Lonchura striata: one gene and its partners. The protein of the gene in region 1 purifies or fractionates together with the protein of each later gene. This does not show direct contact. Links are inferred from orthologs where the notes say so. Each region holds a gene or a part of one and is shown in the gene's direction. Other genes may lie near its edges.

What was found.
Region 2: the proteins of AURKA (region 1) and FBXW7 purify together in Homo sapiens (affinity purification with western blotting; 5 studies listed by BioGRID). This does not show direct contact. The link is inferred for Lonchura striata from reciprocal best matches to the Homo sapiens genes AURKA and FBXW7.
Region 3: the proteins of AURKA (region 1) and ARFGAP1 purify together in Homo sapiens (affinity purification with mass spectrometry; 3 studies listed by BioGRID and IntAct, counting the BioPlex papers as one, with this or other methods). This does not show direct contact. The link is inferred for Lonchura striata from reciprocal best matches to the Homo sapiens genes AURKA and ARFGAP1.

What each region holds. Positions count from the first base shown.
Region 1 is NC_134619.1:2,538,502-2,542,246, reverse strand, and holds the start of AURKA (aurora kinase A), read left to right. Parts: upstream 1-1,319; coding exon 1,320-1,373; intron 1,374-1,994; coding exon 1,995-2,274; intron 2,275-2,809; coding exon 2,810-2,885; intron 2,886-3,501; coding exon 3,502-3,693; intron 3,694-3,745. Other genes in the region: CSTF1 (cleavage stimulation factor subunit 1), read right to left, coding at 103-222. UniProt on the Homo sapiens protein: Mitotic serine/threonine kinase that contributes to the regulation of cell cycle progression.
Region 2 is NC_134606.1:43,089,805-43,093,549, forward strand, and holds the start of FBXW7 (F-box/WD repeat-containing protein 7), read left to right. Parts: upstream 1-909; 5' UTR 910-1,051; intron 1,052-3,745. UniProt on the Homo sapiens protein: Substrate recognition component of a SCF (SKP1-CUL1-F-box protein) E3 ubiquitin-protein ligase complex which mediates the ubiquitination and subsequent proteasomal degradation of target proteins.
Region 3 is NC_134619.1:6,103,594-6,107,338, forward strand, and holds the start of ARFGAP1 (ADP-ribosylation factor GTPase-activating protein 1), read left to right. Parts: upstream 1-1,145; 5' UTR 1,146-1,261; intron 1,262-3,745. UniProt on the Homo sapiens protein: GTPase-activating protein (GAP) for the ADP ribosylation factor 1 (ARF1). Involved in membrane trafficking and /or vesicle transport.

The sequences.
Region 1 (3,745 bases):
ACGGGCTGGGAATGAAGCGGCTGGCGCGGCTGCCCAGCAGCGCTGCGGGCGGGCCCGGCCCCGGCCCCGGCGCAAACCGTCCCCGCCCCGAGCGCTACTCACGTCAGCCTCGAGGAAGGGCAGGCGGAGCGGGCGCGGGTCGAGCAGCGGGGCTGCCATGCCCCCCATGCCCCGGGGCAGCTGTCGTCTGTCACACGCTGCAGCGACACGGCGACCCGACATCTTCTTTTTACCTATCCTGAACCACTTGTAAACACCGACACACACAACCAGGCTCTCCTTCGCTCTTGTTTTCAGCACCGCGGAGACAGTGAACTTTTCAGTGCCTTGCCTCGCAGTTCTTCACCAGCTCCGAGCGCCGAGCGGAGTTTCCCTGGCGGGGACCCGCGGGGCAGCAGCGCCTGACGCCGCGCTCGCTGCGCTGCTCGCGGGCCGCGCTCGCTGAGCGGCCGCGCTGCCGCTGTCCCGGCGCCTGCGAGGGGTGCGCGGTCGCTCGGGCCGGGCCGGGCGGGGCCTTGGCGCTCGGCGCTCGCCCTGAAGCGCTGCCGGCACGTGGCGCTGCCCGGGGCCGCACCGGGGAGGCTCCGGCCCTGCTCGGCCCGTCCGGGGGGGGCACGCACACAATGGCCCCGCTGGCGCTCGGCCCCACGCGCGCTGGCAGCGGCGCCGCTGCCCGGCCTCGCCCGGGGGTGGGCGGGGGTGTGTTGGGGGGGAGTCCGGCGGGAGCGGGACTGACCTGGCGGCGCTCCCGGGGCGCGGAGCGGAGCGGAGGCGGCGGCGGCCACAGGTGGGAGCGCGGCGCGTTACGCGATTTGCGTAGCGGAAGCGGCGGCTCGGCCCGGCGGGAAGTGCGCGGGCGGCGCGCGCCGGGGTGGGGGGGGCGGCGCGGCGCTACGCAAAGTGCGTAACGCGCCGCACGGCGACAACGCCGGTGGAGGGGCGCGGCGCGGCGAGGCGCGTGCGCCCCTCGCGGCCCGGCGGAGCGCGCCTGGTAACCAATAGGCGAGCGGGCCGCCCGCGGGAGGAGCCAATCAGCGTGCGCGGGCCGCGGGAGGGCGGCCAATGGCGGGCGGCGGGGGTTTAAAGGGGTATTTAAGGCGCGGCGGTTTGAATTCAAACAGCTCCGGCGGCCCTGAGGCGGCGGCTCCGCGCTGAGCGCCGGGCCTGAGGGCGGGCGGGGGGGATTGGTGATGGATCTCTGCCGATAAACAGTGGGGATCGATAAGGGACCCGCCATTTCCTGTGCTCCGCTCGCTGAGCCCCGCTGGCTCCCTCTCGCCCTCAGCCAGAGCCGCTCGGGCCGCTCCCGCTCTGGCGCTATGGACAGGAACATGAAGGAGAACCACGCTGCCTGCCCCGGCCGCGCCGCCAAGGTAGACCGCGTATTTCACACCCTTATGTTCCTCTTCCTGAGCAATTTCTTCTGCTGCATCCTTGGACTCGATGCCTGGGAGTTTGCCATTAAAGTTCTGCTAGGTTCTGGAGTGGTGGTTTTTAGTTTTTGCTTGGTGGGTTTGTTTCTCCCCATCGCATATTAACTAGAAATTTGTCTTTCAGTGCCTTTCTCCTAGAGAAAACAGAGCCCCGAGCAGTTTTTAAAAATTATTGTTAATATTAGCCTATCTTATTAAATGGGGAAATCTTCCTTCTATTGCAAGTATTTAAGAGCTCTTAAAGAGAAAGTGAGTGTGTATTATCAAATTATTTTAGATACAGTTTTTAAAAGCAAGTGCTGTGTACATGTGCAGCAGTGCTCAAGATCACCCTTATTATTGTGTTTCTTCTATTTAGAAATACAGGCACTTTGTCAGTATTTTATATAAAGCCAAATAGACCTGATAAGTTTTTGGAACAGCATAAGCAAAATTTTCTTTTAATCAACTAAATACGTGATTCTGTTAAAGTGCTTTTGTGTGGCCGTGCCATCCTGAATGGGGCCGTGAGGGCTGTGCTGTGCTGTTGCACAATTAACGCCTTCTCCTTTCTCTTTGAAGGTCTCCAATCCCATCGGGGATGCCCCCAGACGTGTCCCCGTGTCGCAGCACTCAGCCCCGAGCCGCTCACTGACCACTGGAGCTCCAGCCCGAGTTCTGTGTCCCGCAAACTTTGCCCAGCGAGTCCCCGCGCAACCCCAAAAACCTGTTCTGTCCACCCAAAAACAACCCAGCAACCAACCAGCTCAGCAGCTCCAACCCAAAGTGCCCCAGCAGGCTGCTGTGAGACCTCAGGCTGCAAGCAAGGGCAGTGAGAAACCTCCCCAGGCTGCAGCACCTGGTAATTCTGAGGATGATTTTGTGTGATTGCAGCTGTGACACTCGGGATGCTCCTAAAGCTGCTGCTGATCCAGGGACAGTCCTGCAGGGAAGTTCTTGGTTGTGCCCCCAAACAGAAGAGCAGTACGTGGTTCACCTCGGGTGTTACTGCACCATCCTTATGAATTTACCTCTAAATTAACAGAGATAAATTAGATAAATTAGGGACATTATGGTGTTAAAAACTTGTAGGTGCTCAGCAGACAGCTCGGAGTTAATGTCATTTGCATTCAGACTTCACAGGTTTTCCAAGTGTCCAGGGATACTTTTGTCTGGGGAGGGGGAAAGAATTCATGGAGTTTTATGCTCCATAAGCTTTTAAAATTGCATTTTGCCAGCACTGTTTCTTCCCTAGCAGTCAGCCATGCTAGTTTAATTAAAATGTCACTGAATGGGTTCTAAAAACTGCTTCAGATGATGCACAGGGGTTAGATTTGTTCATGTGTGTGTGTGCCCATGAGTCTGGTTCATTAACTGATTTCCTTCTCTGTACACAGCACAAAACCCTGAAGCAGAAAGCACCTCTAAACAGAAAACTGAAGAGACCAAGAAGAAAAGTGAAGAGACTAAAAAGTAAGTTTATGCCTGAATTCTGGATAACTGAGCCCTGCTGGAGCTCCTTTGGCTGTGGAGCCTGGTGACCCCCTTGCTTTGCAGACACCTCACAAGGAAAAGCAGCCTTTGACCTGATAATTGTCAGGAACAAGGACTTGTTGGAATCTAAAGAAAACTTCGGGCTAAATGCAGAGTGGCTCTTCCCATGGGAGAGCACTGATAGCTGCTGCCTCAGTCACTAGATGTACTCCTGAAAACAAAGCCTCCTTCATCTGGGCAGGAGGCTGGAGTCTATTTTGATATGAAACTGGATTTGTTTATGGCAACTTTAAATTGTTTTGCCATGCCCTGGTGATGTGTCTGGGTTAGGAGTATCTGAAGGAGCCCAGCTTGGTAAACAGACTTCATTTTGTAGTAGTGTGGTTGGTGTAGTGTCTGCAGAAGCTTCAGGAGGAAAGAAAATAGTTTTCACAACTTCCTTTTGAAAAATCTCAATGCTTTTATTCTCTAGGTATTTTCTTAAAGACTAAAATCTAGTTTAGAGCACTAAGCATCTCTTGAACAGCAATGTTATAAACTGTAAATTTGAGTCAAATCCAACACAACTATCCAGCTTTTAACTTTCCTCTTGCAGAAGGCAATGGTCCCTCGACGATTTTGAAATTGGTCGTCCTCTGGGGAAAGGAAAATTTGGGAATGTGTACCTGGCACGTGAAAAACAGAGCAAATTTATTCTCGCACTGAAAGTGCTCTTTAAAACACAGCTTGAGGAAGCTGGTGTAGAACATCAACTACGAAGAGAAGTGGAAATACAGTCTCATCTTAGGTAAAGTTCAGTGACTATTTACTCTGCTTTGTTTGCACCCAAATAAACAAGG
Region 2 (3,745 bases), on another chromosome or scaffold:
ACGGGGCAACCATCATCCCCGTTACTGGGTTCGCAGCGCCCAGAGCCCGACTGACAAAGTGCTACTAGGGACAGGTGAGCCTCAGTTTCTAGAAGCACCAAGCGTGACCAGCACTTCCCACCGCCGGCTCCCGCACAAACCGAGCGGCGGCCGGGCACGGAGCGGCGCGCCCCGGCATCGCCCCGGCACCGGCCGTTCCCATGGCGGGAAAAGGCGGGGCGGCCACGGGGCCACCCCCTTGTCCCGGGCTGAACCGCGCGGCCGCGGCGGGACCTGCGCGGCTCCGCCTCGCCCGCCCTCGGCATCATCGCTGCGCGCCAGCACCGGGGCGGGGCGGGCCCCGTTGCCGGGTTACCGCTGTCATCCGCCCGCGCCACCGCCGCGCTCGCTCCCTCTCCCGCCCGCCCTCCCCGCCCCCTCCCGGCGCCGCAGGAAGCGAGCGGATCCCGGGGCGCTACTGCCGCCGCTGCCCCCACCGCGCCCGGCGTCCCCGGCCCGGCCCTGCCTCGCCGCCCAGCGCCCCGCGCCGCCGCTCCCCCCACATGCCGCAGAGCGGAGCGGTCGCGGCGCCGAGCCCCGCCGCCCGGCTGCCCCGCCGCGCCGCCCAGCCGGGGCCCTGACGGCCCCCCCGCCGCTGGAGCCGGGGCCCGCAGTGCATGAGAGGGAGAGCGCGGCGGGGGCCGCGGCCCGAGCCACTCGCCTCCCGGCCGGCGGCGGTGCGGGGACCGGCCCGGGGGGCGCCGAGGGGCGGCGAGGCGGTGGCTCCATGTGAGAGGACGCGGCGGCGCACCTGATCCGCCGCCGGGACAGCCGCAGCCGGGGGCTTTCCTCGAGGGCCACCAGTCCGCAGCCCGCCCGGGCGGGAGGGGGCTGGACCCGCCAGCCCCTTTGAAGTCACCCGGAGCCCGGCGGCAGCCCCGGGGCGGGGGGGGCAGCGGACCCCCTCCCGCCGGGGGAGAGGGGCTCCGCCTCGCCGTCCGCATCGCCCCGCCGGCGGGAAGGCGCGCGCGCCGCGAGCGGAGGGAGAGCCCGGCGGAGCCCGTCCCGAAAAGTGAGTGCGAGCGGGAAGAGCCGCCTTGGGAAGGGGCTGGGTGCCCCGGGGCTGCCGGCGGGGGGCCGGGGGCCGCCGTTTCCCATGCGGCTCACGTTGCCGGCCGCGCACGGTCTGCTGCCCCGCGGTCCACCCGCCGCTCCCGCCCGCCGCGGAGACGGGGCGGGAGGGGGGTGCTCCGCCACGGTCCCCGGGGAGGGCCGAGGTCTCCTCCGCAAGTTCTGCCGCCCGCTTTGTGCCGGGAGCGGCGCCCCCGCGAACAAAGGCGGCGGGCTCGGACCCCTCCGTCCCGTCCCCGCCCGGGGAGCCGAGCGGAACTGCCGCGGCGGAAAGTTGTGCAAGGTTGGGAGCGGAGCGCACGGCCGCAGGGCTGCGAGCCCCGAGGGTTTCAAACGTCCCCCACCCCGCTCCCCCGTTTTCCTTCTCTTCTCTATAGGTTGAGAGGCTCCTAACAGACCCCGCGGCTGCCTCCTGCCCGCTCATTTACAAAACACTTAGGTGGAAAATGTAGCTCTTCTTTTCACGGGAAAACGTTATTGAAGAGTTGCTTATTTTCCATGTAAAGTATTTTGAATGTGTTTTAAAAGCCAGGAGTAGTGTTGGCTCTTCCTGTTTATCGGACTAGTTGCTGCTTCATGAGGCACGAGAGTGCTCTTGCTCTTACTCCAGACCTTACTCCAGGAGTGGTTAAAGAAGGGTCTCGTTTGGGAATGGGACTGTTTGCTTGGGTTCTGTTTTGCTTTGATTTTTAGCATTTCCGCCCCGTGCATAATTTCCCGCTGAGCAAAAACTGTATCAAAACTTGAAATGTTTTAATAGAGTATCTTAACTTTCTTTTAACTGAAGCAAACAACACCTCCGTAGCTTGTCGGGGAAAAAACAATTGTGTCTGCTAGTGTTAAATTGTACTATTTGGGTGTTAAAATTTATACAGCAGTTTTTTACATGTGAGGAGGATGTACTAAAAAATGAAGAGAGTAGGTTGAATGTCGTTTATTTGATGAGACAGTGTTCAGACAGAGATCCAGAAATTGTAACTCTTGTGTGGAAACTGTTGTCTGCATGTATGAGTCCTCTCCACATCTTCCTGGAAGGAGTCTAGAAAGCCTTTGAAGGAGAAGGTTGTAGGGTTTGTCGGGCTTTCCATTAAAAGAAATGTACAGCTTGTGAACATCCTGTGGGCCAGTTGCTAGGCGCCTGCTCTCCTGCGCTTTCTTTACCAGATGCAATTGAAAGCAGAGGAAAACAAAACGTAGCAGAAATGTACGCAGTTGCTGAAATATATGGGTGTGAACAGAAGGCCATACTCCAGCATTCCAGTTATGGATGCTTGCTCTATGCTTCAGTTTGTGCAACGCTTTTGAGAGCACTTACCGCCTGTTTCCCAGCTGTATGCTTCTACATTCTGCTGAGGAGATAGCCTCTGAAAACCTGAGAAAACCTAGACATAGATAGGAATTTTAAGGTAGGCAGGGCATCTGATCTTTCACAGTTTCGTTTTGAGACACAGTTTGCTGAAGGTAAGAAGATTAATTTCTTTAGTTTGAAGTATCTCCATATCTTAAGCTTTCTGTCGTTGCTATTTTGAAAAGGGGTGTAAAGAAGTTGAACTCTACATTTGGTTCATTCCTAGCTTTTCTCAATTGCAGAACTCAGTGGTTAGGAAAGGAAGTTGCATTCTTTTCAGGCCACAGTGTTAAGAAGTTGGTAAGTTCTGTGCTAGATTTAATATCTACAGGAGCATAATGACACCGTGTCTTTTTTTTTTTTTTCCATGTGTTGATTACACTTGTTTTAAGTCACTTTCTAGTCCCAAACTTAAATCTGCCCTTTTTCCATCATCATCCAGTTGTTAATGGCAGCCTGGTTCTGTCTCTTGATGGCAATTATGCATTCTTGCTGGTGTTCCAGGTTCATAAATATCTCAAAAACATATATCACTTCATGTTTTTAATTTTTTTGTCAAGGTTTAGATTTTTCCTCCTACTGCAGCTTATATCTAACCAGTGTAGGTCCTTTGTTCAAGCTGAATAATTTACTAATACAACACTGTCTGTTTGGAAACATAAATGTTTATTAGAAAGTATGTGATTTACATTTGCATTAACTGTTAGAAAAGCTTTTACAACAAATAACTTTCTAGTTTAGGGAAAGAAATACTTTTTATCTTTAGACTTAGGCTGACAAATTAACTTTACTTCCCCTTATGTATGCACGCGGTACTTTGCAAAAGTTTAGTTCATTACTTCAATGGAATTTTTTGTCTCTGAACCAGTAAAAGAAAGGAATGGTGTGTGATGGTTTAGGCCAGGCAATGTTACTAAACAGAGAGGAATGCTACACTTCTGTCTCTTTAAAATAAACAGAGTTTTAAAAATTAGGATGGTATTTAATGAACATGTTTAATCTTCTGAATCTTTTTGTGAAGAGCACATGCAATGGCTGTATGTACATTACACTTGAAATAAAAGTAGCATAAAGATCTTATCTGCAGAGCTGCTTCAGCCTTGTCATATGTGGACTGTGTGTGTCAGGTAATTCTAGAAAGACATGATAAACTTTGCGTCAATTGCTCATGAAAATGCTCTTCCACAACAAAGTATTGTGCTTTAGTCAATTTGTGGAAACTGATGGATGGTTCAGTACTGAAATGCTCCAAGTATTCACTGGATAGACAAAATCTATTTACTGTGA
Region 3 (3,745 bases), about 3.6 Mb from region 1:
TATGGACTCTGAATAGAAGAAAGGACTGATTGCTAAAATCTTGGCCTCAGGTGGAATTTTCTCTATAAAAACCGCCTGTGCCAGGATGGAGGTGTGTGGGCATAGGAGAAAACCTCTGCTGAGGCTGACTCCTTGTGGCACACCCAGGGTCGACCCCGGGCTCAGCTCTGTCCTTTCTGTGTGGCTGGCTAGATAGAATTTGACAGCTAATAAAATTATTTTTATTTTTAATCTGGCTAAATAAATTCTCATTTATAACAAGCTCCTCTCATGACGAAGCACAAACCTCAATGATGTCTCCCCTCAGTCTCCTGTTCTTCAGGCTGAACAACGCAAGGACCCTCACCCACCCCTCTAATGGCTTTCCCTAGATCCTTCCTCAAACTTGTGGCCTCCTTTGGATGCTCCTTAGGGGATTTATCTCCTCCATATATTGATTGGGGTACCCCAAACCATCCCAGCGCTCCAGCTGTGACCACAGCAGCCTGGACGTGAAGCTGGGGGAGCTTCAGCCCCTCCATCTGCTATCCCCAGCTTGGGAGCAACACGGGCCGTCACCTGAAATCACCACTGCACTCTCACCCATAGGTGTGTGAGGAAAACCCACAGAATTCCACAACATTCCACATAATTCACCCTCACGGGCAGCCCCAGCCACAAACCCCGGGGGTCGTTTTTGCAGCCGCACGGGGAGAGCAGCGCGCCCGCAAGGCTCGCTGCAAAGCTTTACTTCAGCTGGAAACAAATCCCTTGGACTCCTCTCTGGAGCACGGGGAGCTGGATCCCATGGAACCCGGCCCGGCCCGCAGCGGGTTAAGCCGCGCGCCCACAATGCCTCGCGCCCTGCAACGTCGGCGGCGCCGGGCGGGACCGGGCCGGGCCGGCACCGGGACCGGGATCGGCACCGGGAGCAGGGCCGGCACCGGGAGCAGGACCGGCACCGGGACCCAGCAGGGGCGGCAGCGTTGCTCAGGTCTCCGTGGCTCCCCGCAGCCCAGCCCCGCGCTGAGGCGGCGCTGCTCGGCCCCCGCGCTGCCGCCCCGGCCGCAGGCTGCCAGGCTGGCGCGGCGGGCAGGAGGCAGCGCCCTGCCCGCTGTTTCAGCTCTTTCTGCGTTGTTTTCTTGCCCAGAAAGCAGAGGCCGGAGGGCTCGGCGGATCCCGGCCATGTTGTGAGGGAGGGAGGCTGCAGGACGCCGCTGGGATCCGGGTACCGCAGGTGTGCCTGAAGGAATCGCTCTTCCTCGGCCCCGCGAGGCGCTGGGTGAGTGTGGAGCTGCTCGGCTTTGATGTATTTGCGAAGGAGAACCGTGCCAGCTCCGTGGAGATGGGCGCTTTGTGAGCTTGCCAAGGTTTTTTCAGCCGCTGTGGCCTTTTTGCACTGGTGGGACTCAGGGGGAGCCTTGAGCACCATGAAGGCACCAGGCCACGTCACCCGCTGACTCTTGGTGTGTGAATCGCAAAGCCCTTTGCAGGCTGGCTCTGAATTTCGTGCTGTGTCAGAGGAGCAAAGTCCTGTTATGTATTATTTCCGCTTCTAGTCCACTTCTGCCTTTTTTGCCTTGTTTAGCAAACTAAAGATTTCATAACCAGAAAACTCATATGGTGAACATCTAGTTTTTGCTCTGGGAGCAGATTGTTTGGGAAATAAGAGTGTGAGATTGCTTTATGTGAAGCTAACTCCACTTTGGAACCCTTGTCAGAAATATATATATTCATAAATGGAAATTTACTCCAAAACGAAACCTTTTCTTTACTGCTTATGTCTATTTCTATTAGATCAAAACAATGTATATTTCTTTACGGTGGCTTCTTTCTTCATTATTTAGCTATGAAACTTAAACGGCACAGGTTTATATACTTAAACACTGATTTAAGTATATAAAGTTTATATACTTAAGTTTATATACTTAAGCACTGCTTATATATCCAGTCAGCTATCAGGCCTCAGCTTTTTGGTGGTGATCAATGATAATTTGAACCCTTAAAACTTTGTGAGAAAATCATTAAAAGTAAACTAGGCACCTCTAAAGGTGTTACCTATTAGAAAGCTTAGAACATGACATTTTTACTTTGTCATTTATTTCCAAATGCTTTGGTGGGGGAGGACAAGATGAAAAGCTGGTGCCTTTAGTTACCTCCTCCTTTTCTTGGTGTGGGTGAAGCTCTTCCTTCCCACTAGACAGATGTGGTTTGGGCAGGGAACTTGGTGCATGTGGAATGGGTGTATGTTCTGACTGCAGTTTGCCTAAGTCTTTCCGTTTTTGTTTAAAAAAAGGTAGTTATGGCAGAACCAAAAGCAATTGCTTCCTTTGTCACCTTGGAGCTGGAGATCTGAAACTCATGTGTAAGCTCTGGAGGGGGCTGGATATTGGCTGTTGGAGGATGGATGTAACTTTCTGCTTTGTAGACAGTTCCTGGCATGTGCAGAGTTGGAGTGGGAAGAGGCTTTCCTGTTCAGCTCCAGCAGTGCTGGTTTGCCATTGAGGCAGGCCTCTGCATGTAGACTGCCTCTGCTGGTTATTCTGATTGAAAATCTGTAAAAAAAGGAGGAAAAATAGTAAAGGAAGGGCAGGAATAAGAGGATTGGACATCCCACCAAAGAGGGGAGCTTTGGAAGCTGTCAGTAATGTACAGGAAGATGCTGGGGAAATTAATTCCTGAGGAAAAGATGTTGGCATGCAAAGAGCAATAATGGCAGAGAGGAGGGCCCAGAGGGTGCACTGTTGTCTGTCTGGCTATTCCTGCTGAGTTATTTACTTAATTTCTGTACTGCAGAGGAAGAATTCTACATTAGCTCACCAGGGACAGATAGTGGAATTGAAGACAGAGACTGAGAATCATATAAATGTGTTTATGGTTGTTATTTAGGACATGAGCAAATGCACATAGTGCTATTTCCCTCCCTGCTCACATGCACATGAGTTGTGGAAGGTTAAATGTTATTGAAATGCTATTGGAAAAGGTGTGTTTAATTATATGAGTAGTCACTTGACACACTTTCATTCTCCTGTCTTAAAATTACACAATTTTTATTAGATTATTGATAAAAATAACTGTGCTCAGTTTTATTTTAATACAGGATGGCAGGAAGATTTTATTCACCACTATTTGCATTGACTTTTATTGCAATTACCTGGTTTTGCCCAATACAAAGCAATTAAGGCTGAAAAGGTGGCACATTCTAAACATCAATGAAAGCACTTCACCTTAAATTCCACAAAATTAAGCATTTGTTAACAAGATATTTACAGAGGAATAAGTGCTTTAGATAAAAAGCAATGACTTGTGCTACAATCACCCTCTGCTTTTAGCAGTAGCAATATGTAGGTACAGCAGTGAGCTTTTCCTTTCTGAGTCATGTTATCTTAGCAGGTGATGCACAGAACTATTTATTGTACTGCTTTGCTTTAGAGATTGAAATTGTTGCCAGTCATACAAATGCAATATTTCCTTACCTGTAGCATTTTACCTTTTTAAACACCCTTCCTTGATTTATTTAAGATAAATACTTCCTCCATCCCCTAGGGCTGTTGTCTGTAACAGTCATTTACCTTCTAAAATTACTGTGAGATTGTTAATTTTATTGATGTTCTAAGGACTTTTGATTATTTGGTCAAACAGCACAGTGAACAGAGTTGCCTAAAGGCCTTTTTGCCTCTCATACCAACCTTTGTTTGGTGAAAATATCAACCTGCTGTTTTATGCTTTGTATCTTGACTGGCCAATAAGCTTGATATTTAGTACT